4 linked regions of the Diceros bicornis minor genome follow. The protein of the gene in region 2 interacts with the protein of the main gene of each other region in a biochemical or structural test. Links are inferred from orthologs where the notes say so. Each region holds a gene or a part of one and is shown on either strand. Other genes may lie near its edges. The genes, in order: NLK, LEF1, TLE1 and MITF.

Evidence for each region.
Region 1: of the proteins of LEF1 (region 2) and NLK, one has a biochemical effect on the other in vitro, tested with the Homo sapiens proteins (4 studies listed by BioGRID). The link is inferred for Diceros bicornis minor from reciprocal best matches to the Homo sapiens genes LEF1 and NLK.
Region 3: the proteins of LEF1 (region 2) and TLE1 form a complex in vitro, tested with the Homo sapiens proteins (2 studies listed by BioGRID and IntAct, with this or other methods). The link is inferred for Diceros bicornis minor from reciprocal best matches to the Homo sapiens genes LEF1 and TLE1.
Region 4: the proteins of LEF1 (region 2) and MITF form a complex in vitro, tested with the Homo sapiens proteins (2 studies listed by BioGRID). The link is inferred for Diceros bicornis minor from reciprocal best matches to the Homo sapiens genes LEF1 and MITF.

The regions. Positions count from the first base shown.
Region 1 is NC_080757.1:19,327,446-19,334,425, forward strand, and holds the start of NLK (serine/threonine-protein kinase NLK), read right to left. Parts: upstream 3,005-6,980; 5' UTR 2,018-3,004; coding exon 1,560-2,017; intron 1-1,559. UniProt on the Homo sapiens protein: Serine/threonine-protein kinase that regulates a number of transcription factors with key roles in cell fate determination. Positive effector of the non-canonical Wnt signaling pathway, acting downstream of WNT5A, MAP3K7/TAK1 and HIPK2.
Region 2 is NC_080750.1:3,900,951-3,908,714, reverse strand, and holds the start of LEF1 (lymphoid enhancer-binding factor 1), read left to right. Parts: upstream 1-4,749; 5' UTR 4,750-6,181; coding exon 6,182-6,391; intron 6,392-7,764. UniProt on the Homo sapiens protein: Transcription factor that binds DNA in a sequence-specific manner. Participates in the Wnt signaling pathway. Activates transcription of target genes in the presence of CTNNB1 and EP300.
Region 3 is NC_080761.1:12,947,003-12,954,173, reverse strand, and holds the start of TLE1 (transducin-like enhancer protein 1), read right to left. Parts: upstream 3,018-7,171; 5' UTR 1,642-3,017; coding exon 1,618-1,641; intron 830-1,617; coding exon 729-829; intron 1-728. UniProt on the Homo sapiens protein: Transcriptional corepressor that binds to a number of transcription factors. Inhibits NF-kappa-B-regulated gene expression. Inhibits the transcriptional activation mediated by FOXA2, and by CTNNB1 and TCF family members in Wnt signaling.
Region 4 is NC_080741.1:68,237,191-68,244,336, reverse strand, and holds the start of MITF (microphthalmia-associated transcription factor), read right to left. Parts: upstream 3,020-7,146; 5' UTR 2,924-3,019; coding exon 2,820-2,923; intron 1-2,819. UniProt on the Homo sapiens protein: Transcription factor that acts as a master regulator of melanocyte survival and differentiation as well as melanosome biogenesis.

The sequences.
Region 1 (6,980 bases), on a different chromosome or scaffold from region 2:
CAAACAAATTCCCAGTAAATCAATGACAAAATTTAAAGCAAGGAACAACCTTTTTGCTATCCACCCTTCCCCCTACACCCCAAGCTTTGGACTCCTCAAGGGTAAGGCAAGGAATGGAAGTTCACAGTGCAATCCCTGAGGATAGGATATGGAAGCGAAGAGAGGAAGGCAGGAACAGGCAGGTCCCTGAGCAGAGCGCCTGACAGGCACCATTACCGGCTACACTCTTTCCCACCCGGAACCCCACACACCTTCGAGAAGGGAGCACTGCAGCGGCAACCTCCATGGAGAGCTAGCTAGGAAAACACTGGACTTTACTAGTTTAAAAACAACAGATCAGTCATTGAGTAACCTAGATGATAAAATCTGAAATATAAATAAAGATGGCCAGATATAATGCAAAAATGATACTTATATCAATTATAGCCTGAAAAACAATGACGAAAGGAGACATTTACCAGGCTAGTTCCCATGAGTTCATTTTCCTGTGGTTATGGGGGCTTTTCTAGACGTTAACAAGAATCTATTTTTGAATGCACTGAAAACATCAATTCATCTATCCACAGCAGAACACTTAATCCTTGGGGGGAAAAACTCAGTTTGCTCTAGTTTTGACTGGAATAGGACCCTATAACGATAAATACATCTTACTGTAAACTACTAATCTTCCTCAGAAGGGTAAATAGATGAAATGTTGCATTTAAGAAGCCCTTAGACTTTTAAAAAAATATCCTAGCACTAGCAAAAGTAGAGCAGTTTCATATGTTTAAAAAGTATACTTCCTACTACAGCAACCAACCAAGGGATAACAGCAATTTAAGAGGGACCAAATGACACTAAATAACACTAAAACATTACACCAAATGTGGGCCACTGCATAGCTACAGTCTACTGACCTCATTTGTGGTACTCATGTGTGATGCTATATTTAATGCATTCTTATCAAAAGGCTAAAGCTACATGCTTCCCGAATGTAGCTTTATGGTTTAAAATAAACCACTCAAGCAACGACTTAACTGGTTCAACTATGAACCTACCTTCCTTCTGGGGATCAAGATCACAAATTAAGGAATGAAAAGACGGAAAGGAGAGCAAAGTAGCTATGCAAAGCATATCCCAATGACAAGACTATTACAAAGAATCCAGTGTGGGTCAGCTGTGACATTTGCTGCAATTGGGCAACTGATTCAAACTAAATCAAACACGAGCGATGACCAAGGTCTTTGGAGGAATAAGCATTTCATACATTCATCTATTGATCCTACATTCAGTGGCTTACTAAGGTTCTAACCAAAAGTTTGGTAGACAGCAAAGTGACTGTGTATTTACTCATCAGAGGGTGTTCCACCAAAATGTGCCATGACTCAAAAGTGTAATATAAACCTAGATAGCCAACGCGTTAGGCCTCTTTACCACCGAAGTGAGGGTAAGTGGCTTCCTATAGTTGAGTTGAGAAGCTTGCTCCACTTTGGTCAACATGGAGAAAACCACCAGAGATGACTCTGCCAATCACAACCATAAGAAACCTGGAGAAGTTGTGTTTTTCTTTGGATACTCACCAGACAACACCAAAGGCTCCATATCCGATAGGTCTATCCGGCTCAATATCCAGCTGCTGTTGTGGATGATGCGAGTGCTGATGATGGTGCGCCTTAACTGTGGCAGCTGCGGCAGCCTGTACCTGAGCTGGGGCTGCCGCAGCTGGTCCAGGAGCCTGACCCGGTGCCGGTGATGGGAAATATGGCTGTTGTTGCCCAGGGTTTAACATGGCTGCAGCTGCGGCCGCTGCTGCGGCTGCCGCAGCTGCCGAAGAAGTATGCTGCTGGACAGGGTGTACCGCAGCAGCCGACCCCGGGTGAAGATGGTGCTGAGGGTGGTGGTGGTGGTGGAGGTGAGGAGGAGGGAGGTGTGGAAGGTGGTGGTGATGGTGGTGGTGGTGACCTGCTGCTGCTGCAGATGTACCGCCATTGTAAGCCGCCATCATTTTTGCGTTGGCTCTTGCGCCACAAAGAGACATTCAAAAAAAATGCCCTTTGATTGGAAAGCAAACTGGGTCAAGCTGTCATTTGGCCATTTAAAAATGAAGAGAAACCACTCACTCCACCTCAAAAAACATGGAGCGGAACTGGCTTTATGTCTTCATCAGTCAATCCAAACACGTTAGAGGATCGTGGTGTTTAATTTCGGGGTGAGCGTGTGTGGAAGGGTGTGGGGTGCCAAAACAATAAAAGAATATAAAAAAAGAAAAAGAAAAGAAAAAGGGAAAAGGGACCCCTTCCCCCCAGGTTTCCTGCCACAAGTGGGTACTAAAACTCCATCCTTAATTCGGGGGAGGTTCCAACTTTGAATGTGGGAATAAAGGCCAAGCCTCCCGACCCCCTGAACTCCACACACGAAAAGGATCAGGTAACACACCACCCTTGGAATCCTGTAAGAGGGTTGACTCATCTACCCCTTCCATTCCCACATCCTTTTCTAAACACCTACCACCTCCTCAAAAATACAACTGTAAAAAATTCCAACCACCCCAAATTAAAAAGATGGGGGGAAATTTTCAGGGACACCAGCTTTCCCCCCCCTCGAACTCTCAGGCCTTCCTACATCTCCCCCCGCTCCTGGTCAGGTTGACCTGATTGGAGGCGGGGGTACCAAACTTTCCTGAACAGGAAAGAGCCAGGGAAGGAGGCAGGAGAGACGGTGAGCGGAGGAGGCGACAGGGCAGGACGCAGAGGAGAAAGAGAACCGGGGCAAAGTGAAGGTAAGGAGGTGCAGGGAGAAATGAAAGAGAGGTGGGCAGCTCTCGGACGCCCAGAGGGAACCGCCCCGGGATGAGGTTAGGGTCCCGGGGCCAAAGAATAAGCGCCCCGGGAGGCGGGCGGGGTGCAGTCGGAAGCGGGCTGACTCCTGCCCCCGCCGCCGGCTGCTTCTGCTGAGGAGGGTTGGGGGGGAGAGCGGGTGGGTCCCCCCGCGCGACGGCCCCCGCAGGGCTCAAGGCAGTTCCGTCTCCCCCCCTCCCCCCCACCCGGCTTCCGTCCCTGCGGCCGCTTTCGCCTCAGCCGCTGCGGCCGCTTTCTCCTCAGCCGCCGCCTCCTCAGCCGCCGGTGCCGCCGCGGCCGGACTCACCTCCCCTAGCAAAGCCGGATAGAGCGGAGCCAGCGGCGGACACGCGCAACCAGCCGCCGAGGCCCCGCCCCCGCCTCACACTGACCGGCTGCCCTAGCCAATCCACGCCCACCTGTCCGCGTCCGCCTCCAATCCTGGGCCGGGAGCTTCAGACAGGCGCACTGTTCGGCCAGTGGCGACAAGGTGTGGGTCTCCTGGGGAAATCCCGCCCCCGATCCAGGATGGACAGAGAGAAAGACCAATCAAAAGACAGAGTTGGGCCTGACCGACAAGGCTAAAAGCGAATTAAAAACCAAAGATCTCCGTGACATTTTCTTTCGCCTCTCTCCTCTTTTCTTTTTCTTCTTTTATTTTTTTGGCCGGAGCAGGAAGCTGCGTGCTAATCCCGCCTGCAAAAGCTGGAAGAGAGGGTGGAATGAAAGAACCAATCATGAGCCTGGAACCAAGAGCAGAGCAACCAATCCTTGGCTTGAGGATGAAGTGGGATGGGACTGCGGCCAGATAGACATTTGATTTGACAAATGGAAAAAAAGATTGATCTCGGTCCCACCCTTCAGATCCCCTATAGGTCAGGATTGTGGAGAATTCTCTGTCATATCAGCGACGACCTCTTCAGGGGCGGAGCCAAGTAAAAGGGGTGTGGTCTAAAGAAAAGGGGCGGGGCCTAGACGAGGAAGGCGGAGTCCAAATCATCTCTGGTCCATTGACAGCATCCGTCTACTCTCCCTTTTTAAGGCATAAGATTTGGAGAAGTAGGGTGAGCAAAAAGGAATGTCCAGCTTCAGAAACTTCAAGGTCCAAGGTTATTAAACAAGACAGTCATAAGAGAAATTCAGTAAACTGACAGTTCATAGCCCAAAGCTGGTCCTCCATGGCTGATCCTCATCTTAGCGAAAAGAGGCGTTATCTCCAGCATTCTTATCCACTCTCAACGAATGATAAGGCTATCCATACAAATTAAAACAACGATAATAAACGTAACCACAGAAATCATAATTTTCTCCTGTATTTTCTAAGTCAATAAGTACTAGTCATTGAAATCTTACTAAAATAACATCTTTCTTTCCCTTTCACATAACCTCACTTATCTGAATTTACTTTTCTTTTAAAATATGAAATAATAAGCTTACAGATCCTTATCTTATTAAAACTGTGCACTCAGAAACCTGGAGATCATCTTTGATTCCTCTTTTGCCTGCCCACTCCTCTCCTTCTAGTCAATCATCAAGTCTTAAACACTTTTAAACACTTCTAAATACTCCCTCCTTCTCCCCAATCACCACAGTACTGTATTACCCAAATTTATGCCACTAGCATCTTGAATGAATCTCCCTGCCTACGGGCTAGCTCTCCTCTAATCCATCCTCCACTGAGAGCATAGCAATCTTTTAAAAAGATTTCTGCTTATTTTTGATCACCCCTACTCTTGAATAAAGTCAATAAGTCTAAATAGCCCAACACGATCTGGTTCCCGCCTTTCTCCACGGCCTTATCTTTCACCTCCACCCTCCTTACTTTAGACATTCTGAACTTTTTTCAGTACCTCAAATGGTTTGTTGCTTTCGAGCTTTCCTGCATATCTTTGGCCCCAAACACTCCCCACCCACCCTCTACTCCTCAAACTTATCGTTCAGGTTCCACATAAATTTTATATTTTTTCTGGAAAGCTTTCCCTAACCCTGTTGTAGACTGTGTGTCTGGTTATACATCTCCACGGCACTGCTTCCCTCATAGCACTAAGAACTCTATATTTTAATTGTTTACTGAGTTTGACCAGGACAGAAAGCTTGTCTGTCCCACTCAATGTTATATGCCCGGCTCCTAAGGCAGTGTCCAAAAGGTGAAGACGCTTAATAAAGATTTGCATGAGTTACTGAGTGCAGGAGGAGTGGGTACCAATCCAAGCTCTGCCGTTAACTAGCTCTATCACTCAGGCAATTTAACTAACCTTTCTGAGTCTCATTTGCCTCAACTGAAAATGAAGATAATAATATGTGCCTCATCAAGTTGAGGTGATGTATTTCAAAGTTCTTGGTAAATAGTGAAAGTTCAATATATGTTCATTCTCTTTCCCTATCCCCATCCTCACATGATATTTGGGATGCCTTTCTAATTTCCCAATGCATATCAGTCTCCTCCAAAGTGTAGTTTCCTAGAAGCTTCTTAGAAATGCAAAGCCTCAAGTTCCACCCCAGACCTACTGAATCAGAATCTCTTGGGGGTTTGGGGGCCAGGAGTCTTGTGTAACAAGCCCTCCAGGTGATTCTTACACTCAACGAAAGTTTGAGAAGCACTGGCCTAGAGAAGAGGGGCTGAGTCTTCTTTAATTTTGTTTACTTTTCAGCACCCAGTATAGTACCTAGCACCTAGAAAGTGCTCAGTACATGTGAAATAAACAAATACATCCAATCCACCAGAAAATGATTGCATATTAAGAACTATTTATTCCTTCCACAAACATTGTTAAGCTATATCTAGGCAGGGTGCTAGGTTCAACAACGGGGGAGGGGAGGTACATGAATTAAAGTCTCTGCCCTCCAGGAGCTCTAAGTCTAGTGCAGGAGTTTCCAAAATGGTGTGTGCACACTCCATTAGGCTCCAGGAAGAAATTAGTAAAATTTCTATTTCTGCTTATTTTTTATCACATCTTTTTAAAATGTCCATTTTGTCAGTGTTTTATAATGTACATAATATATGGAGTAGTGTACAGGTATATAATTTATAAATAAATAAAAATACATAAATTGGAGATTTATGCTCAAAATGTTTTATCAAAAATATTGGGAAATCACTGGTCTAGTGGCCATTTAATGTTTATGGTTTAGATCAGCTTTGTCCAATAGAAATATAATGAGAGCTACATATGAAATTTTAAATGTTCTAAGAGTCACATTAAAAAGTTAGAAGAGGGGCCAGCACCATGGCATAGTGGTTAAGTTTGGCATGCTCTGCTTTGGCAGCCCTGTTTCGCAGGTTCAGACGCCAGGCGTGGACCTATACCACTTGTCAGGCATGCTATGGTGGCGACCCACATACAAAATAGAGGAAGATTGGCACAGATGTTAGCTCAGGGCTAATCACCCTCAAGCAAAAAAAAAAGGAGGATTGGCAGCAGATGTTAGCTCAGGGTGAATCTTCCTCAGCAAAAAAAGAAAAAAAAAGTTAGAAGAAACAGGTAGAATTATTTTTAATATATTTTATTTAACCCAACATAGCCAAAATATTATAATTTTTAACATGTAATCAATGTAAAAAATTGTATATGTGTTATATTTTGATACTAGTTCTTTGAAATCTGGTGTATGTTTTGCATTTACAGCACATCTCAATTGAATTAAAAATTCAGTTTCCTCAGTTACACTAGCCATATTTCAAGTGCTCATTAGCCTCGTGGGGCTAGTGGCTACCAGATTAGACAGCACAGATCTAGATCACGGGTTTGAATCCCTGTGATCTTGGACAAGTTCCTTAACTTATCTTAGTCTGCATTTTCTTGTCCATAAAATAGAGAGGATCCCTGACTTCTCCAGTTGTTGTGATGATTCAAATAGACAATCATGGAAAGCACACAGCCTGGGGCTTGCCTGGCTCCTCATCAGTGGCAGTAAGTGGGATGGTTATTATTAGTATGACAATCCAAGGCAAAGTGTCCTAAGTGTCAAATGAGAAATACACTTTGGGCACTGCTCAGCTTATGTCCCCAGCATTCTGTCCACGTGGGGCTGGCCTGACAGCCACCCAATTCCCCTGAAACACATCACCAGACAGTACAATATCCGGCCCTTTCCATCGCGTTCCATTTTCAGAAGCTGAGCATGATGAACGAGAAGTCGGAAGTGAGTCAGCAGGATAGCACT
Region 2 (7,764 bases):
GTGCATTCAAGAATGGGCTTAATGGGTTTTTAACCACAAAAACAGAAATTTTCTGGCTAGTCGCCTGTAGAAAAAGATTTCCAAAGTTTATCAATAAGAGGAATTCAAATGATTCACTAGTTGTGATAGTGAGTGCTTTCATAAAAATAATATTAACACTGGTCTTTCAGAATCTGACTTCTGTGGAAGAAAACTGTGTGGTGCCTGGTATGGAGTGTTGAAAAAGAAGCACTATGCACAACGAACACGTGTACATGTGTCCTGTCAACGTTCTCTTCCCAAACGTGGTCGCAGAAGAAAGTGTGAAGCATTCCGAAATCAGACAATATTTATGGCTGAAGAAATTCAGCTTCACATAACGGTAATTATGAACAAGATATTTTCCCTAATAAAATGACTGCAAAACAAAATCTGGAGAAACTAAGTGTTTCCCTATGTCCTCTTTATTTTATTCCACGTGATCAAGAATGGTCGCGAGAAAGAAAGGGAGGGAGAGAGTAAAAGGGAGCAGAGGGGGAGAGAGAGTCAGAGCCGGACGGCCTCTGCTGAGGGTTGGTTCTGCTTTAGAAACTGGAATGTGTCCAGGCTTGATTTTTATTTTCAATTCACATTTCAGATCCAGCTCCCCAAACTCTTTGATCTTTCTCCCTGTCTCCTTACCCGGAAGAGAACCCTTGGCCTTCTCAGCTGGGAGCTGGGAGCACACGTGGAAAGCCTGGCGAGGATCCATGTTCTCGCCAAATTTAGTCACACAAAGGGGCCTGCAAGGGAAAAGAGAAAGGATGAAAGCGACGGCCGCCGGGACTTCAAAGGCCGCGCCGCCGCGCCGGGCCCTGCGCAGGCGCCGCCCTCGGCGGACTCCGGCGCGGCGCGCGGGCGGCCTCTGCGCGTCCTCCCCCGGCCGGGGCGGCCGGCCCCGGGGCGCGCGGAGGGACCGCGCCGAGGGAGGGCCGGTCCCCACTCCAAGTTCGGGCGCCTGAGAAAAGTTTTCAGAAAGCAAGGAAAAGAATTTCGAGTGCAGCCCACTAGGCGAGCCGTCGTGCGGGCCGCCAAGGGGTCCCAGCCCGCACGTCCATCCACCCCTTTCCGGGCGCCCCCCTTCCGGCCGCACCGCCGGCTCCTGGCGGGAAGCCGGATGCCCGCCGCCGAGCCCTGCCGCGAGCGTGCGTGGCGGGGCCCTGGCTTGCACATCCCGCGCCCTGAGCCCGCCCGCGACCCGCCTTCCTGTCGCGATCACCCCCGCGCTCTCCTGTCCCTCTGGGCGACTCCGGCGGAGCCCGCGCTTCCGGGGGGCGGGGGGCTGGCCGAGCCCGCAGACGGCGGGGCGCACGTGGCCCTCCCTCGCGCCCCGGGCGCACCAGCGGGACGCGGACCCGGGCTCGGCCCGCAGCGCCCGGGGCGCGAGTGCAGCCGGCGGCGCTCGGGGGGCGGGCGGGCGCGGAGGGCGGGCCCGCGGAAGCCCGGCGTCCGCAGGCGGCCGGATTTGGGAACGGCATTTTTACGGTCCCACGAGTTCTGTTACCCGGCGGGTGGGGGTTGAGTTTGTTTGTCTTAGGAGGAGGCAAGAAGGGGCGGAAGAGCCCCTGGGACACAAACTGCCGTTTCCCTCGCCCCCTCTCCCTGTCCGCGAGGTCCGTTAAACCGAAGGCGCCCGCAGCTTTCGTCGCCTGGAGAGGCCGCGGTGGGAGTGGGAGAGGGGGTGCCGGCGCTCCGGCGCTGGAATCGCGTTATTCGTTTTCTAGTCCTGCACGCTCGCTTCTCTCCTCGCGAGCATCCTCTTCCGTAGGCCCGCCACCGCCTTCCTCTGGGATCCCACCAAAGTTGTCGCTGGGAGGGAGTCCAGGCCACACAAAGGCGAAGACCCGGAGCCGGGCGGGGGTTAGGGCCGAGGGGGCGGGGAGGGCTCTCCAGGGCACCGCGCTTGTCTCTGCTCCCTGTAATTAAGGACTCACTGGAGTGTCTGTAGCTGACTCGACTTGGCAGCCAGATCGCCGGGGGAGGGGTCTCCGGTGTAGGTGGGGGTCACTGTCCCGGGTCCCCTGCCCGCGCCCGCAGGGGCTGGGCCCGGCTTACCCTGGGGGTGCGAGGCCCGTCTCCGCTCCCCCCCTCCTCTGTTCCGGCGCAGAAGGAAGTGTTGATATAAAACGAGTCACTGTTCGCTCCCAAACTCAACCCCAACCAACCAAAGCCACCAAGAGGGGAAAAACCAACAGCAATCCAGCCAGCCCCTAGCAATTGTTTCACGGTCGGAATTAAATCACATCAAAACGCCCCCTGAAACCCACATCCTGAAGGAGTGAACCTGCACCAGCCAACCTCCAGTCGTCCGCTCGAGTTCACACGAACAACCTGGCCCTCCAGCCGAGGGAAGGGGGCGGCGGTGGCCGCGCTTCTCCCGCGCCGCACCCACCACATCCCGGACGGTGCGCCCGGAGAGGCGGCCGCAGATGTGCAGAGCAGCCCCCACGCGAATCAGAAAAGACCTCCCGGCAGCAGAGATGCCTTCGCCTGGAACTACCCGAACCCGTGGGGAGGGAGGAACGTCTTCCTCCTGTGTGTCCTGTTTTTTCCCCCAGGAGAGACGACTTCACGTGGAAATGTCAACCTCCCTCCCAGACAAAGCTCTAAAAGACTTGGGTGCATGTTTTCTAGTAAAGCCCCTTGTAAGTGCAGCCGGTCAGAAGATTTGCAACAAGGCTAAGGACAAGCAGCCGACACCCCGCACGCCACGGGGGAGGGAAAACAGCCACGCACACAGAGCCAGGTGCTGGGTGATTTCGTTAGAAACCATGTTTCCAAAGGAGAAGGTTGCCGCAAAATACCAAACGCAGCCACCTACCCTCGGCCCTTCTAGTGAACAGTTCCCACTAGTTATGGTTCCAAAAATTCCCATCTTCTCGAGCTCCTAATCTCCAGGACACCTGGAGCTGAGCTCCAAATGACTCAGGGAGTCCAGATAATTAACAGGAAGGAGAAAATGGGATTCGAATTAGTTGCAACACTTAAACAGGGGGGATGTAGGAGACGTCATTTAATCTCTCTTTGGCTTTCAGAAAATACCCTCTGGCCATTCTGTGTGCCCCCCTCCCCCTCCTCGACGGTTTGATGAAAAGGAACGTGTACTCGGGCTGCTTTGGTGAAACTGCATTTTCCAGTTCTTTTCCTATCCGTCAGATTGGCGCATTTGTGGGAGGACTTTTGACTTTGTTTTCCCATATTTCTTTTAGAACAGAGGGTATTAATGTCTGACATAGCTACATATTCACACCTCTAGGACATTATGCTCACACTGGTGCATAGCTTCAAGGGAAGTTGCATACGGCCACTAAGCAAAAAATAAAATTGAGTTTCTTTCCAACCTTTTTAGCATTGACTTACGGAAACGTTGTAGCAGAATATTCTCTTATGTTTTCCTTCTGTAAAGCATAGCATTGTCAGCTATTTAAAGTGGATTTAATGTTTTACTTTTCCTGGCTCCCATCACCAGCCCCTTATTTTACCCCAATCCTCCAATACAATTTCCCTGTGACTACTGGCCATGCTCCATGTCACCATCTGAACCCTTTAAATGATATAGTTTTAAAAATTGCTTCCTAGTAAATTCCCATCTGTAGGAAGTAGTTATCAGTAGGTGAGGTTTTAAGTGCTCATTTAGAGCATTGTTAAGGTCTTTACTTATACAGTGTCCAGCAGCATGCAATTTCCCCCTTAGAAAAAGAGGGATCTTTACATGACTATTCCTATGTAATAGAGCTCCAGTCTGATTCTGTGGTGTTTTTCCTTATTTTCAATTTAAGAGAGATGGAGACACATTTCTTCCTGCCCCTTGTTTACTGTTCTGAGGTTTTACAGATGGCTACTGTATTGGGCATAATAATTTTGCCTGGATTTTTAACTGAGGGGGGTTCAGAGCCAAGGAACAAAATGTAATGTGTTTTCAAACTCCAGCTCTGCTCATACTGTAACTTTCACAAAGCATCTCCTTAAAAGCCTGTCCTTGTACAAAATGCATCAAAGAGACGGTGGAGGCTGGGGAATTTTTGAGGTTGGATTCGGATTTGCATCTTCAAGGGTCCCTTTGAGCGCGCAGTCGGAGGCGCCAGAGACTGCCCTGTCCTCCCTCCCTCTACTGGCTCCGCTCTCCTGGGTCCTTTTGCCTTGTCTTCTCCCTCCTTGGGTTGTTTTTTCATTCTCTACGAGGTGTCCACACATTGTGCCGTGTATCTCCGAAAATCCACGGGAGACCTAACTCTCTCTGTACATCCCACGGTGAGGATGGAATGAAAGAGATCTTGCTTAAAAAGCTATAATTAAGATCCAGTCTTCAGTTTTTTCTTCCTCGTCCTATTTTTCTCGGTAAGCCTGCAGATTTTATTTTTGCTAGCGTGTGTTCCCTTGTTCTTTGACATTATATTTAGGAAAGCCACAACTGTCTTTCCTGTCCCTCCTGCTTCCGTTCTTTCTTATTAGTTGAGCAATGTCTGTTATATTTTCCCCTTTTCCCTTTTCCCTGTCCGGGATTCCCGCCTCATCCCCTCTGTCAGAGCATCTATCAATGTGGTGTCGATCACAGCTGCGGCGGCTTCTCTTTCATCTTCTTCCCCTGCCAGAGCGAGGGAGGGAAAGAGGGAGGTGGAAAGAGGGTGGGGGAGAGACTGGCGGGGTGGGGGGGAGAAGAGATACTTAGATGATGAAGTTAAACCATTCGGGCAGAGTTTCTTGTCAATTTCACGCGAGCAAAGCGTGCCTCTCGGTGGGTTACAAGAAGCGCCCGGTCCTTCCTTCCCTCGCCAAGTTGCCTGATCCTTTCCTCCAGGCGCGCGCGCGCGCGCACACACACACACACACACATACACACCCCAAAACTAGGACTCGTCCTACAGGCTCTGGGAAAAAAAAGACCTCGATCACCACCTCCTTCTCGCCATCCCCCTCCACCCCCCTACCCCAGCGGGCAGCCAAGGAGAGTTGGAGGCGGGGGAGGGGAGGGGAGGAGAAGCGACGCAAGTGGGTAGCTTTACAGCGCCGGCGAGGCGCGGGAGGAGGAGAACCGGTGGGGAGGCGCCGCAGCTCACCTGCGGGGCAGGGCGCGGAGGAGGGATCCGGGCTGCGCGCGCTCGGGCCAAGGAGCCGGGACGCGCTCGCAGCCCCGCACGCGGCCAAGCTCCGGGCGTCGCCTGGGCCGGGCGAACCCGAGGGGTGCAGCTCTGTGCTTTGACAGAGCGGCCCGGCGGAGGCGTGGAGAGCGGCGAGCGAGTGAGCCAGGCTGAGAAACTCGAGCCGGGAACAAAGGGGTCGGGCTGTGTGTGTGTGTGTGTGTGTGTGTGTCGGCTCCAGCTCCCGGCAGAAGCATTTGGGCCCGAGGACCCTGCTGTGACTTCTCGAGACCCCGCCGTGCCCTCCACTGCCGACTCCCAGCGCTCGCCGGCACAAACTTTATTCTTGGCAAACTTCTTCTCTTTCTCTTCCCCTCCTCCTCCGCCCCCACCTTCTCCTCCTCCTCCTCCTCCTCCAGCAGATTAAATGCGCCTGGAGAGGGAAAACCGAAGCGAAAGGGAAGGAAATAAGAAGCTCTAAAACGGACATCTCCAACCGGGGTGGCTCTTTATTTTTTTTACCCTCCAGGAAGTGGACATTTCGTTATCCTCATATTCTCCTTGCACCTTCTCCGCTGGGGCAAACGGAGCCTTTTTGCCCAGCTCCTTTCTTTACTCGGAAAACAAACTCCCAAAGGGGAAGCTAGGGTGGCGCGGTTGGCTTAGAGACGCGCCGACGGACCCTGCTGCGCACTTCGGAAAGTCGTCCCACTTCTGAACCGGCGTCCTCGGCGCGCGGACCCCGGAGGCGCCGGGGGCGTGGGGCGGCCGCCCGGGCAGCCCAGCCGAGCGCGCGCCACGCCGCACCGCGCCGCGCAGACGCCCCGGAGGCGCCGGCGGCGGCGGCCTTCGCAGCCCCGTGCCCTTCGGCCTCGTGGGCGGGCGCCGGCGTCGGGCTCGGCGGAGCGGGAAGGCGCGGGCGCCGCCGCAGCTGCTCCGGCTGCCGGCCCCGCGCTCGCCGGCCCCGCTTCCGCACGCGTCCTTGCAATTCTCTTCTTCCTCCCCCCGCTTTCGTTGACCCCCCTCTCTTTCCTGCTGTCGCCTCGGTGCTCCCCCAGCGGAGCGGAGATTACAGAGCGGTCGCGATGCCCCAACTCTCCGGGGCCGGCGGCGGCGGGGGGGACCCGGAACTCTGCGCCACGGACGAGATGATCCCCTTCAAGGACGAGGGCGATCCCCAGAAAGAGAAGATCTTCGCCGAGATCAGTCACCCCGAAGAGGAAGGCGACTTAGCTGACATCAAGTCCTCCTTGGTGAACGAGTCCGAAATCATCCCGGCCAGCAACGGACACGAGGTGAGCGGGCCGCCGCCCCGGCTCCGAGAGGCGTGGCGGGTCCCGGGGCGCGGGAGGGGAGGGAGGGCGCCGGCGGTCCGGCCGAGGGGCCCATGGGCGCCCCGGTGGCAGGGGGCGGGGTGGCTGGGCCGCTGGTCAGCGCTTTTCCTGTGTGCGCGTGTGTCGGGGGGGCGGGGGGGCGCAGGGACACTTATCCCGAGTGGGTCTGTTCGGGTTGGGTGGCTGGACCGTGGGTTTGCGGGCAGGAGAAGCTGCCCTTAACCCTGAACGCCTCGCCTTCGGCCTCGTTCGGTGGGCTGAGCGGGTGCGAGGACGTGTGAGCGGCCCTGAAAGTTCTTCCGTAGACGGAAGACGGCGCGCCCGCTGCCTCCGGGTGGGTGTCTGCACGAGTGCGTTAAGCCGCCGGAGGCTCAGGCGAGACGAGCGGAGCCGCAGGGCCGGGGAGGGGAAGGGAGGGGAGGGCAGGGAGGCGGGCGTGGGCCTGGACCCGCGGGCCGTCCCAACCGCCGCCGAGCGGGGCCGGAGCCGCCGAGCGGGGGCGGCGCGGGCGGGTCCCTGGCCCCGAGGTCCCACGCGCCGGCCGAGCCTCCCCGGGGGCCTCGCAGGGCCGCCCGCCACGCCGGTTTTCTCCAGCCCGCGTCACTTAAAGGAAAGAAAAAAGAAAGCGCTTATGTTCGGGGTTAGTTTGGGCCCGGATCAGACCTTCAATCTATGCAGAAAAAGGCGAGTCAGAGTGGAGATGCGGCGGAAGCCAGGGCACCCACTCCGGAGGGTGGAGGGCGCCTTATCAGATCTCCCGGCCGGCGGCGAGCGCGCCGTAACCCGAGCTGGTAAATAGAGACACGTGGGCGCCGGCGAGCGGGAGCGCGAGCCCGGCGCGGGGACGGCGAGTTCAGGCCGCGCGGAGCTAGCGGGGCGGGGGCGGGAGGACCCTGACACCCGACACCCCACCGGCCACCCTCGCCTTCTACTGGGAAACGCTGTGGAGGAAATCCGGTAGAAAGGTCCTGACACTCAAATGGTTTCACCAACGCTTTTTCCCTCCAGAGGAACTTGGAGGGTATACCCTTTTTCCTTAAATGGCATCTTTCTGCCCCCAAAAAGAAAGCGTGTGGTTTTGGGGGCGGGGACATTTTGGGTTTTAAACACACGTTTAAGAACACCTCAGAGTTACCTTCTTAATCCCAATGGCAGGGGTGAGTACGCGTTTTGGAAAGCTGGGGGCCTGGTTCTAGAAGAACATAGGGGTGTTCGTTATCCCCTGAATCTTTCGTTCCCACGTGCCAATTTGACGGGAACCTCGGGAGGGGGGCTAGGGTGCACCCAACCTCATTAAAAACGTTTGTGACTGTGGGGGGGGGAGGCGGGCGGAG
Region 3 (7,171 bases), on a different chromosome or scaffold from region 2:
CTTAGCTCTAATAAGCTAAGATTTCAAAGGAGCAAAGGAAGAAACTAACGTTTCCCAAAGTCCACTAGACAGACAGGGTACTTTACACATAGTTTTCATTTATAAATCTTTTTAAGTAGGTGTTATTAGATGAAGAAACTAAAGCTGAGATGAATGTAAATGTGACTCCAATCCCTTGTCCTACCCAAACCAGTCCAGAATAACACCAAAGCAGATAGCTTTCCCCTACACACTATCACTCCCCTCATCACCACCAACGAAGGGGACAGCGAAAAGCATCTAGCCCTCCATAAAGGACTTTGCCTCAGACAACCCAATTCTCTAGTATGGCAAACAGCGATTTCAACACTGGCTTTGCCTCCCTGAACCCGCACTCCAGGGCTGGGGCATCGCTGGAACGAAGGTTTCAGCTCAGCCTGTTGCAAAATAAATAAATGAAGTGCAAATATTGACGATTCTCATGCAACTCCTAAATAGACGAAAATAGACTCCCTGGAAGAGCAGCAAACGCGCAAAAGGGAAACAATGGGAGGAGGTGGAGACAAGAGAAGAGGCGGCCCGGGAAGAGCCAGGAAAGGGGGTAGCGTGAATGACAGGTCTTAACTGCGACTCCACACGCCACCGCCTGGACGCAAGCACTAAGTACAGCCGCCGCCGCCACCAGGCTGGGCGCAGAGCGCCGCGGGGCTGCCCGTGCGACCACTCGCCCCGCGCGGCCGGACACGCACCTGTGATACTGCGCCTGCAGGAACTGGAATTCCTCTTTAATCCGGTCCAGGGACTCCGGGATAGTAAACTTGAAGGGCTGGCCTGCAGCCTGGTGCGGCGTCTGGGGGCGACCAGCGAGGGGGACGAGGGACGGGATGCGGGCGGATGGATAAAGCAGTAAGTCAGCGGGCAGTGGAGTGGGTGGGACATAAACAAAAAATAAAGTTAGAAGTGGAGGAAAACGCAGTCGGGAACTCGAGTTTGCGCTTCACTTTGGGGAGCGGGAAAGCGGACCCTCCCCCGACCCCCGGCTCCTAAAGGTGGCTCGGAGCCTCTTCCGGCATCCACAGCGGGTCGCGGTGAGTGCGCCCGGGTCTCCTGGCTGGAGGGAAAGGGGCTCCCGGGCGGCCGCGGAGGACGAGGCGAGACTGTCTTCCTCGTCGCCGCCCCCTCCCCCCACGGGGACGATAATGACCCCGGGGACCAGAAAAGAAAAACAACTCCCTTACGTTCCCGGTTCCCAGAGTCACCGGGGCCACCTCCAGGCGCGCCGGAACGGGGGCCGCATTGACATGCAAATAAGCGAGACGAGAAACAAAGGGGGGGCGCCCTACTCGCCTCAGGGAAGGGGGAGGATGTGGCTGCGGGAGAGAAACCCCAGCCTCCCCGGGCGCACCCGCCCGCCCTGTCTAGACGTCAAGTGGGAAGGAGCCCAGAGAAAAGCATGGAAATTGAGGGCTTCAGCCCACTCCCCACCCCAGGAGGGAAGGGCCCGGGACCTCCGCAGCCTTGCACTCCTGGGGGACAGGGTCTGCCAGAATGTAGCAGCCACCCGTTTACACACGTCAAAAAACCAGCGCCCCCCCCCTCACTACCCTGCCCCCCATGAGCCCCTCGGCCGCGCCTCACCGGGTGCCGGCTCTGCGGGAACATCGCTCTGGCGGCGGCCGCAGCTCTGTTCCCGGGCAACTCAATTCTCCGCTCAATTTCCAACTTTAATCCCGCCGAGGAAAATTAAGCCGGGAAGCCAGGCAGAAACCGGGAGCGCGGGGGACGCGCTGGCCGCGCACGCAGGCGCGCTCGGCGGGGCGCACCGGCCACTCGGCGCCCGGCTGCTCCTGCTCCCGCCGGTGCGGGCTCCCGCGCTCAGGGCCACATCGCGGGGCGCCCCGGGGCACCAGACTCGGTGCGGCGACGCCGGCGCCCAGGAAGACGGCGCGGGGGCTGCGCTCCAAGCCGCGGCCTCGGCCGCCCGGGCGGGGAGGTGGGGGTGACTCCGGCCGCGCTCCCCTCCGAGATCCGCGTGCGCGTCGCCGTCCCGAGCAAACAGATCCAAGCGGGCCGCCTTCCTTCGCTTTTCTCCCGATCCGCCTCCTCCGAGTTTTCCCCACGGCGCCGGCCGCGGGCGAGGTGCAGGTGGCGCGACGCCCACGGCTAACCCACAAAAACAAACCTGACGCCGTTCGAGGCCGACCCCTGAGGGGCCGGGCAGCGCCTTGGGCCGAGCGCTCGCGGGGCCCCGGGAGGCGGCGAGAGCGAGGTCCGGGCCGCGACGGAGGCTCCGCGCCCGGCGCTCCGCAGCCTCAGCGGGAGCCGAGGAGCGCGGGATGACGCCGAGGCGGGGAAAGTGCGGAGGGCGCGCCGGGAGGCGGCTCGGCACGCCCCGCGCCACCGGTACTCGGTGTTCTCGGCGCTTGCACAAACCTTCCTGGCCCGACGGGGCTAATCGGCGGAGGGCAGTCCCGTAGCCGCACGCCGCTCCTCCAGCCCGGGGCGCATCCGGGCGCCACGCCCCGCGCGCACTCGCCCCGCACGACTGCCTCGGCCGCCCTGGACCCTTCCTCCGAGCCCCCTCCTCGGTCCTCTTTCTTTCCTCCCCTTCGTCTGCCTCTCCGCGAAGGGCGCTCCAGCCCGCTGCAAAGTTCTCTCACGACCCGGGGGACGACATCCACGAGATGGTGGGGAGAGGAGCAAGAGTGCACTCCGCCGCTCGGCCTCCCTCCCCGGCGGGCAAACTCCGCGGGCGAGTCCGGAATAGTCGCGGCGGCGGCAGCCGGCGGGGTTTAAGTCGCCGCGGGCCGACAGAGGTCCGGGCTGGTGGCGCGGGTCCCGCCCGGCCGTGAGAGGGTGGGGTGGCGCAATCGGCTGCCTCGGGGACGCGGGGCACAGGGTATCCGCTGCTGCTGCTGCTCCTGCAGCCGCCGCTCCCGCCGCCGCCGCCCGCGCCTCTCGCGCCGGTTACATTAACACGCGGTTTCACACTCCAGAGCTAACCAGCGCGGGCCCCGCCCAGCCCGGCGCGGGCGGGGGGCGCGAGTGCGGAGCCGGCGGGGGACGTGGGCCGAGGCGTTGGGGGGGGGCACGGGGAGGCCCGCGTCAGCCAATCGCGTGCGCTGCGCCCAACGTGGGGTGTTGACGTGACGCCTCCCCAGAGCCTATGGCAGCGCAGCACCGGACGGGCCGTTTCCCCCCCTCCTCTCCCACCCCACTCGCTTCCATCTCCGCCGTCTCCCCCGTCTCCCCTCCCACCCCACCCCCACCACTCCTCCGCCAGCCGCGTCCTCCCGGGCTCGGTGAGGCACTGTTCCTGGAGGAGCCGCGGGACGCCGAAACCAGCCAATGGGAAGCGGCGTGCCGCGGAGATTGGCACCGTGGATGGGAAGGTCGGTGGGAAGGAGAGCGGCGGGCCCGGGCTGTCAATCAAAGTAACGTGGGGCTGGCGAGGGAGCGCGCGGATGCGCGCGGGCGGGAGGGACCGACCGGCGAGCGTGCAGTCGCGGAAGGTGGGGGCTCGAGTTTGCAAAAATCCTGCCACTTGTTCACTTTTCCCTTTCATGAAAATTCTCAGATCTCAGTGAAAGTAACTGATAGACTAACAGAGTAGTTTCTTAAAGGGGTGAGGGGGCTTTTTTGGTAGTTCGAGCGGAATGCTTCTTTCGGTGCTGACCCCTTGTTTGATGCTACCCCTGAAAGTGAGGTCCCATTCAAAAATTTCTCTGAGGTTTGTTTTCCCTTGAGCTGCCTTTTCGCGGATGCACAAGAAGGAGTGGACTGTGCTCTTGGTGGAAAATGCATAAGTGGGCAACGTATTGGCTGGTGTACGTACACCAGCCGCGTAAGACTAGGCTTTTAATGCCTACACCTCCTCTGCACCCAAGGTGGTAGGATTTGGGTTTTATTGAAGGATTTCAACCCACTTTGCAATAAGTTCGGCCTGCCTTCGTTTGGCGGGAAGGATACCAAGGTGCTGCCAGGGTCAGGCACGCGTGCCCCAGTCGCAGATGCGATGCTTTGCCCGCGGCGCGAAATCTCAGGTCCTTGTCTTAAAAGTCTGGATTTCGCTGTGTAGGGGGGTAGAGGGCTGCTGAGAGTCTTAGGGGCCTCTCAGCAGCATGACCGCGAGTCTGTTTCCAATTCCTGGAAACAAAGGGAGACAATGGGATAAACCAGCATTGAGACCTGAAAAACCTGTCCTGCCCACCCCACCCCCATAGTTTGGGTGGTACCTCAGGCAGAGCTGCGTAAGGAGCTAGATGGGAAGCGTTGGGTAAATGACATGGCTAACATTCTTATGGGGTGGACCTTGACTTAAAAGACATTTTGAGATCTTAAATAAACGGAGCATACTGTGTAAGTCTTCAGTTTCTGTTTCTCTAAATACACCACACAGCAGAAAGCCTTCAATATTGCCGCTTTTATACTTTTGTTTAAACAACAATTCAGTTGAGCTGTTTCCACATGATTGGTGAGTGACTAATGCTCTTTTAGGCGAATGGTGGTGAATTCTTCCATGAGAGGACACATCTTTGACAAGCGTTCATCTTATATTGGCAGCTACTTAACAAGTTTTTGGTATTAACCTCCACTTTTCCCATTATTTTACTTTCAAGAGACTTACGGAGAGGCACTTATTTAAACAGAAATATATGCTATTTGAAGATTTGCTTTTACAGAGATCTTTTTCTTGAAATATTAAAAGAATCATTTTAGATAATGTATTTCACTGTGGGAGTCATTCTTAAATATGTATGATATTGATTTGTCTATAATTGCATCAATCCCAAATATCAATTATAAATGAAAAATTAAAGGGGTGATTTTAGCCAGTCTGTACAAGGCGATAGTAATTTCTTAAACAAGTTCAGCATTGTGGCTTTGCAGTGTTCTCATTAAGTGGGATGGGGAAAGGCTTATATTATTCATTATGCTATCACAGAGAATGAAAAGGAAGGAAGCACTGACCCTCTTTCCTTGGTTAAGTTTGGTCACGACAAGAGCAGGCTTGCTCCTCTGCGTACGGGACTGTTTTGAAATTACGTGATCCATGGGCAACTCAGCTTTGTCCTCTGGCAGCCTCTGTTCCTTGAAATCTTCATCTAGTAATTGGGCCACGTATGCCAGTCTGTGGTCAGTTCATCCCATAATCAGCTCCAGGACTGTGTAGAAAGTGCTTGGATGCCACAAATGATGCCCGGGGGTGCCAGGACAAGTGGGGCCACTGAGACTTCTCCCTGGGTTACCCAAGCTTTACTTTGATTTACGGGCACACGTGGGTAATTAAGTTTAAACTGAGAAATTAAAATGGTATATGTTGAGACGGGAGCAAAAGTGTTGCTACTTCTCCTCTTCTCTCCCCTCCCTATCCTCTTCAAAATCAGTTCTAACACATTGTCTTTAAATGTTCTCTAATACAGCTTTTCACAGCCAACATCTACTCACCGTATTTCCCATTTGCCATGGATAAAAACTGGAAATACTCTTAACTAGTGCTTTCTTCCCAGCAGAGTTTGAAACACTAGGCCTTCTGATTTCCCTATAATGTAGTATCTGGAGCAAAGACAGAATGATGATTTTAAAATTGCAAGGCCTTTAATTGTGTGCATAAAGACAGTTGGTTTTCAATGGTTTCTTTCTCATACAGCGCATCCTCCTTGAGAGAGGGAGAAGGCTGTGTCCCTTTTCAAGGTCATATTTTCTCTATGATTGTCATGCTGTAATAATTATACTACAAAACTCTCATCAAACTGCATTACAAATGATGGTGTTTAAACAATCAAGTAGCTTTAATCTTATGTTTTAAATAAATATATGTGCAGATTGCCTACAGCCTGTTTAAAAGAAAATAGTCCTACTCATGAAATCTATAATTTTGGTCTTCTATTTAAAGTCTGTTAACCATAATCTTCTTTACCTTTAAGATATTCATATGTTGATGATGTTTTTACATGAAATAATATTAAGTACTCTGCTTCTATAGGAAATTGTCTCTGAAAAAAGTTCTCTTTTTATCTTCTGCAAAAGAAAGGAAAAGATTGCCAGATTGTTTATTTTATCATTGATGCATATGTGGGTATATTTCCATTCATTTGTTGCTGACTATCAAATTTTCAATCAGCAATAGCAGAAGTAATTACAAAAACTAGATGTCACATATAATATAGGTACTAGACACAATCAGAAAAATCATGGATGCTGGTCATGGAAATTATGCATCTTTTAAATCTATTTTTTATTTGAAATAATAATGTTAATTTTTAAAGGATCACTTTAGTCATTTTCTTTTGCTTTTAGCTGTGAGTTATTGCTTATGCGTTTCCTCACTGGACTTTTTTTTAACCTGGGAATTTTCTTAAACCTAAGAATGTAGGGTCCAGAAGAAATTTTCCTAGCATTGCTTTATAACCTTTTCCCCCCATCCCTTTACCAAAGAAAAGGGCAGGATAGGTGTGGGGAGTGGAAGGGAGAAAGCAGAGAAGGAAAAAAAAAAATCGGTAGCAGATCCATGCAGCAGTAAAACCTCAAATAAAATCACATCCAAAGAATCTCTTGCGGTTTCACACAATATGGTAAAATTAGAGATTGCAGGAAACCAACTAAATTAAACTGGGAGCATTTGAAGAGAAACGAGCAGACTTTATGAAAATGACACATTGACTGACCGGTATGCTTTTTTATCAACAATTTCTTTGTTAAGATGCAGATCAAAGGAACCTGCATATGTTTTCATTTTGTCCTAACTAGAAAATTACATCCAGATGTTTAATAGGCATTTGGTTGGTTTTCCACCATTGATTAGATATGTTGGTTCTGTTTGCTTACAAGTGTAGCCGGATCATTAGCTAATGCAAAGAAATGTTTGCTGTGAGTTGCTAATTAGGGCTTTTGGAAACCCTCCATGCTCAAGAACAATTTGTACAGTGGCCCGAAGAACTTGTGGGAGTGGGGAAGTTGTTTTCCCTTCTCCTTGGGGTGGAGAGAAGCAGACAGTCCCACTCCCTAATCCCCCTTTGCTTGTGGGGATTTCGATGCTATCCCTGAGGACTGGAGTGCAAATAAATTAGGCAGAGACCACACAGGCGCTCCCAAACACGGAGATAAATGTGCTCTTTCTGGAACCACCACCATGCTGTCTTTGGGGGAGAGGGGAGCGAACATCTAAAGCGCTGAACATTAACATGTGGGA
Region 4 (7,146 bases), on a different chromosome or scaffold from region 2:
GTGTTCCAGGAATAGCAAGGAGACCAACCTGGCTGAAGCAGAGGGAGCCAGGAGAGGGGCAGCAAGCAAGAAAGTCAGAGCTGACAGGGAGCTTGCCCAGAGAGGCTGCTTGTGCCATTTTAAGGATCTTGAGTTCTACTGAAACTAGGAGCCACTGGAGGGTTTTGAGAAGAGAATGACATGATGTAACACGTTTTAACACAGGGTTTCTCAACCTCAGCAGTGACGATTTGGGGCCAGATAATTCTTTATTGTGGGGGCTGTCCTGTGCACTACAGAATGCTTTGCACCTCTAGCCTCTACTTCCTAAAGGCCAGTAGCAACCTCCTTCCATTGTGACAACCAAAAATGTCTCCAGGCATTGCAAAATCGCCCCCAGATTGAGAACCAATTTTAACAGGAACATTGTGGTTGCTATGTTGAAAATCCACTGAAAGAGGGTAAGGGTGGAAGGCAGGAGAGCAGTTAAGAGACTACTGCATTAACCCAGGCGAGGGCTGGTGCTGGCGTGGACCAAAGAGGTAGCAGAGGAGTTGGTGAGAAGGGGGCAGATTCTGGACATATTTTCAACTCCAAGATACAATCCGGAGAACACAGTTCATAGATGAAATGGCTACAGCAGCCTTAAGCTTTCAATTTCAACTTTTTCCATCCACGACTTACAAGAAGGTAAGTGCCCCAGCAAAGACTTAAGACAAAAAGCTATGAGGAGACCCTGAACAACGTGTGGCCCTTTTAAAGTCACACAACAGATGTCGATGACAATACGTTAGACAACTGTGGAAAACAGTATGGGGGAATTTTGCCAACCCCATATATTTATTCACAGATTTTATTTAACTGGTTTATTTCAAAGAGCATGTGTCTGCTCCACAGACAAGTTTTACAACAACTTTTTTAATTTAGCCTTCCTCTCCATACCGGTTCTGTCCCGCACCTGTTTCTAGCTTCAACGTGTGAAGCCACTGCTTCCCACGTACGCACATTTTTCCTTACATGTGCTAGCTAGCTGCCGAGGACGTTCACCCTTGCAAGTAATTTTTTGCCGACTCTGAAAAAGAGCAGGCCCAAATCCTTCAACAGGAGTTTCATGGCACTCATTTAGGTTTTTCCAGATGGTATTTTCCTCACTCTCTCAGTCATTTAATTTATGTATCAGCTACCATCAAAAATGTTCTAAACAGTCCGGTTAATTCATTTCTTTCAGGACTACACACACACGCACACTCACTCCCTCATTCTGGTCATGCAAGCATTTGCTTATAGAAGCAAAAGCAGAGACTGCCTGGTAAAACACTGGTCCCTTCAGCCGAATGCAGATAAAGCCCCAATGAGCATAACCAACAATACCCTTTACACAATATTACTCAAAACCCCCAACCCCCAACACACACAATCTATGCTCACACACAAAACAGCCATTATGAAGAAAAACCACCAACTAAAGGCTAGTTTTATGCATCTAACTGCATAGGAGGTTTCCTCCCAATCTTGGTGAAGCATCAGCAAAGTGGCTGCTTCAGCAACCCGGTCGGTGGGTGTGCTGTTCCCAGATTTTCTTCCCCAATTTGGTTTCAGTCTTGACATTGGCCTGAAGGAAACAAGCCTGGCTCTGCTTTCAGCTAGAGCAAGTACCAGCCTCCTGTGCCCCAGAAGCAAAGATTACACCACCTCACTCCTAACTGAGCTGCCCTTCTTCATTCACCCTGATTTCTGGACCCACTCCCCCTCTGCCAGCCAGGTCCATTCACCCAGGCCCTACCCAAAGCCAGGGGCAGGCAGGAAGGTTTGAGAGAGTGCTGAAGCACTGCTGAACCTTCCAGTTGTAGCCTTATCTTATGTCACAACTGAGGGGTGGAAATGAACCCTTCTCTACTACTACAGCCTCAAATGACCATCTCCCTCTTAGTGAACTATGGGAATGTCCGGAGTGCCACAGGACAGAAAGGAAGATCTCCAACCCATTCCGACAGATGAGTGGGAGTGGAGGTAACATAGAAAGTGGGCACTAGAGATGGTGGGGCGCCAGACCTGCCAGTGTCTTCACTCTCCTAAAAAGTTTTTGAAGTCCCCAGAGAAATAAACACGTGTCGTTGCCAAGCAGGGGACACTCCCAAAACCCTCCAGTCCCAAGGCTTTTTCCCCTCCAGGTAAGGCCTGGATTTGAATGGGACTCTATCGCCCAGGGAGTTTAACCTGGACGAGGAGACACGCCCCCTCGCTGCCCCTGGCCCCGCCCGCGCTCGGGTGCAGCCTGCGGGAAGGTGAGAGGCGGGGCTCAGAGAAACCTCACCTGGAGGCGGCCAGGGGCGGGTTTTCCCACAGGGACCGGACTCCTAAGAGGCGACAACAGACAAGCTAATTGCTTCCCTCGAACGTCGCGCCTCAATCCACCCCAAGCTCTCCCTCTCCAAGTCGTCAGCCCGTTGAGATCTTCAAAAAAGGGCTTCACTAGAAACTCTTCTTCCCTCCCTTCCACCGCGACTGCCTCCCGGCCCGGCGCTCCTCCTCCCCCACCTCTGCTCCGGGTCGCTCCCCAGCCCCCACTGGTATCCCCAGCCAAGGGTCCCCTCGCCGGGGCGGGCGGTCCCAGGCTGCCCGCCGCGCCCGCGGAGTGCGCTTCGGCGGAGACCCCCCGGAGGCGCACCGGCTGGGCGTGCACGGCCCCCAAGTGCGGGGGGCAGTTCGCCCTCTGCCCCGGGGCAAGGGCACGGGGTCCTTGTCCCAGAGCCCGGCCAACCGGCTTTCCACGCCCCAAGGTGGGAGGCGCGGGGCCCCCCAGCCGCCCGCCGCGCCTCCCTCCAACTGTCACCACTCACCTGCTCTTCAGGGGTTGACTTTTGAGTTCGTAATAGGTTTTGGGCTCTTCGTGAAACTCCTCCCCGACTTCGAAATCCGGCACGATCCCCGATTCCGACTGCATGGCTCCCGCTTCCCGGCCTTCTACTGCTGGAAAGTGCGAACAGAACCCGGGGGCGGAGGGAAGGTGGCGGGGCCTGGGTCCCCCGAGCGGCGCGCCCCCGCGCTGTGCCGAGCTCAGCCCCTCACCCGCGCGCGGCCGCCCGCCCCAGCGCGGTGAGTTTACACTCGCACTCGGGCGGGAGGGGCCGGCGGCCGAGCGCTGCCTGGGATCTGTAGTTCGGTCCGGGCGGGGCATTCCCGGCTCGCCAGGGGAGCAGCTCCCGCGAAAACTACAACTCCCAGAAGGCCAGGCGGGGGCAGAGGCAACGTGGTGGACACCGCTAGTGCAACTCCTGTTTGGATTCATTGTCAATGTCAGCAGCTCCTCTCGCTCGTCTCTCCCCGCTTACTTCAAGGGTACAGACTTGGCTATTTAATATTAATAAGAACGGACTCAGCCCTGTTCTCCTATCGTCATCCCGCCTCCCAGCTCAGACACTTGAGAGGGCACGCCAAGTCGTTATTAAAAACAAAAAAAAAATAGTGAAGTGTTTTGCACTACAAAGTTTTAGCCTTCAAGCCTCCCTTAAAATAAAAGGTCTTCCTATCAGCCTGCGTGCTTCCCAGCGCTGCTGCGACATATCAGCTTGTCCTCGGATTGGAACAGAGTGGAGGAAGTTTCCTTCACTTTGTAATTAAAACACTGTAGAAAGTGCTCTTGTGCGTTTCATTTCTATAACTGACCCGGACTGGGCTTGTAAAATACTATTCATCCAGCTGAGTGGCTCTGTCCGCTCTATCCAATTAGCCACTTCTAATCTAAAGCAACACTTCAAAGGTTCGGTGAATTTTAAAAGGCACAAAGTTAACAAAACAGCGTCATCACTGTCTGCTTTTAATTTCTCAGTTGGCCGGGAGTTCAAACGAGATTGTCCTAACATTTCAGGAGTGAAATTGTGGGGTACATAAACTGTGCAAGCGTCAACCCTCCCCTGAGCTTCCCGGCATTCACTTAGGGACCAGAATAACAGGGTCTGGTATGGCTCATTTGTACTTCCAGTCCTGCTCTCTGATTAGTTCCAGTAGGATGTGTTCCTTCTTTTAAAAGTCTTGAGGCATCAGGGAGGCGGTAGAGAGTTAGAGGGTGGTGTTTAAAGTTACAAGACCCAGAGCTGAAATCCCAAGTCCTTCTCTAAAGCGCTGTGTAATGGTGAGCATGTCACTTGATTCCTAGAAGCCTTGATTTCTTCATCTCTGAAAGAGGAGATTGGCAAACCTGTTGTAGAAGATGTTGCAAGGTCAAATGCAAGAGAAAGTGATTTGTAGTCTGTAAAAATGGTGTTCAATGGTCATTGTTTTATTTATTAGATCTTGAGGATATTCCTTGCAGACGAACATTTCATCTGTGATTTTGTCCTTTCAGAAGTAATAAACTAAATGATCATCCTGGGAGAAAACTCTGAGGAGGTTAGATTAACGACTGGACATCTCTCAGGACTTGCCCTTTGCACGTTTTGCCTCACAATGAAACATTTTAATTTCACGTTTGGTCCATACCATTAAACTATGACAGAACCTGAACACTCTTGAGGAAAGTGGGCTTTTTGTGCTCATGAATGTGGTATCCCACGTTCCTTGATCGCCGGACTGCTAGAAATCAGATGTTAAAAGTAAAGTGTTACTCTCTGCCAGAAGGAAGAAGAGAGGTAAAACATGAAGGGAACATTCAGCCTAGACTCCTAGTCTCATCTTGATTCTCAACCGTAGAATGCTTGGAATGTGGGAGGAGGGGTTGATCATCATTAATAGCTTGGGAGTATTACAGGCATTTAAGGGGTATGGGTCAGAGATGCTATACAATGACAGACTCTCTTGTCCAAATATCGGTGGTACCCCCATGGAGAAACACTAGACTCTTCATAATCTTTTGGTTCACCAGAAGCTTTTTAATCTGAGGAAAGCTATGGACCTTCTCCCCAGAAATATAGATATAAACAAGATTCTGTGCATAATTTTGGCCTGTTGACCTTTAAAGACCATCAAGGATTCATGTTAGAACTGCAGTTTATAACCTCTTTTGAACTGTAATGAAACAGTCCGTTTCATCATTCATTATATCAAACAGTGATCTACTAGACCTAAAGGACCAAACCTGAAGGGGAAAAAACTGTCAAGAAAGCTAAGACCTCTGAACTTACCTCCAACTAAGGGCACCTTCCAGAGAGATCCCTAGGGTGCAAAGCTCTGAGATGAGGTTGCCCTGAGTAGACACAGGTAGCTGCTATTTTTTTTTCTTTTTTTTTTTTCTTGTGAGGAAGACCAGCCCTGAGCTAACATCCAATGCCAATCCTCCTCTTTTTTGCTGAGGAAGACTGGCCCTGGGCTAACATCCATGCCCATCTTTCTCCACTTTATATGGGACACCGCTACAGCATGGCTTGCCAAGCAGTGCCTCGGTGCACACCCAGGATCCGGGACAGCGAACCCTGGGCCGCCGCAGCGGAGCATACGCACTTAACCGCTTGAGCCACCGGCCGGCCCGATAGCTGCTATTTCTTTTCCCCTACATTTTTTCTTCTGGTCTCATCCTACTCTTGCTTCAGGAAAACTTCTGTCACATATGGCAAGGTTATCCATCACAGCGCCATCAGCAACCCAATGGGAGTGGGTATGTGACCTAATCCTGACCAATAGGTGGGCCCATTTCCTTAGCCACAGTGATTCCTTTATGGATGAACACAGGACCCTACCATGACTAGAAGTCCTCCTTGGGACTTCTCTGCTAGGGCAACTGACTGTCTGATTTTTGGAAGCAAAGTGTTAGAAGAAAGGAAACCTAGACCTAACTACTTATGGCCACATAACAAAGCTGATCAAAAACAAGAGAGGCTGAGATAAGATCAACAATCAAAGAGAAGCAGAAACAAGCAAAACTGAGAAGTAGAAAACTACCATAACATTGTTCCAGTTTCACGTTCCAACCATACCTGAAGTCAGACATCCTTGGACTTTCTAGGTATATGAACCACAAAAAAATTTTTCTTTTTGCCAGAACTATTTGGTTTAGCTTTTTGGCACTTGCAACCAAAAGAGATTTGAGTAATCACCCTAAAAACCTTTCACTCCTTTAAATGGACAATTTTCTATAGACTACTATACCATTAATCCACAAACAAAAAGTTGGCCACCTGCTGGATAGCCCCTGTAATCCCTCTTCATTAGTGAATTGAACCCTAGGAGTAGCTACCACTTAGAAAAAGGCAATAAGGGGCTGGCCTGGTGGTGTAGCGGTTATGTTTGCACACTCCACTTCCAAGGCCAGGGGTCGGCGGCCCAGGGTTGGCAGGTTCGGATCCAGGACGCCGACCGAAGCACCCTTTGTCAAGCCATGCCGTGGAGGCGTCCCATATAAAGTTAGAGAAAGATGGGCATGGATGTTAGCCCAGGGCCAGTCTTCCTCAGCAAAAAGAGGAGGATTGGCAACGGATGTTAGCTCAGGGCTAATCTTCCTCACACACACACAAAAAAAGATAATAAAAGTCAATAGCTCCACATATTTCAACCAAGAACTATGCCTATTAAAAGTACAAAAACAATGGCTAAAGATTATAATTAATTATTGTCATTAATAATATGACCTATATTTAGGTAATAGTTTACTTTTTTACACATGCATGTCACATGCACCTCTTGTTGAGCTCATAAAAATCCATCAGAGATGCATGGGCAAGGGTCCCCGTTTTAATACACATTGAACATGCATTAGTTATGGACATGGCATTGTGTTAGGTAAACGGACTACAAGAATGTATTTGACTTCCTCCCTGCCCTCAAGAGGCTCACAGTCCAGGAGTTGAGTCAAGGCTTGGAACACAATGAGAAACCACACATAAGGTAGCAAATGCTAAGCAGCAGATGATTGGTGTTTGATCATACTTTCATATCTATTTAGCTCAACAACTATTTATGGAGCACCTACTCTGTACCAGCCACATTATGTGCTAGATAAGGGGGAAATAGCAGTGATGAGACGTGTATTCCCCACACTCAGGACATAGTCCCTGCCTTTTTAGGAATAGGAACGAAAATGATTTAATGGATAAATAGAGTGACAGAGAGGTACACGCTACAAGCGTCTGAGAAAGGAGCAACCATTGAGGGCAGGGGACAGAGAGAAAGGATTCTTGGAAATGTGACTAAGCTAGTCTTCAAAAAATAAAAAAAAGAAAGGAAAAAATCTAGCGT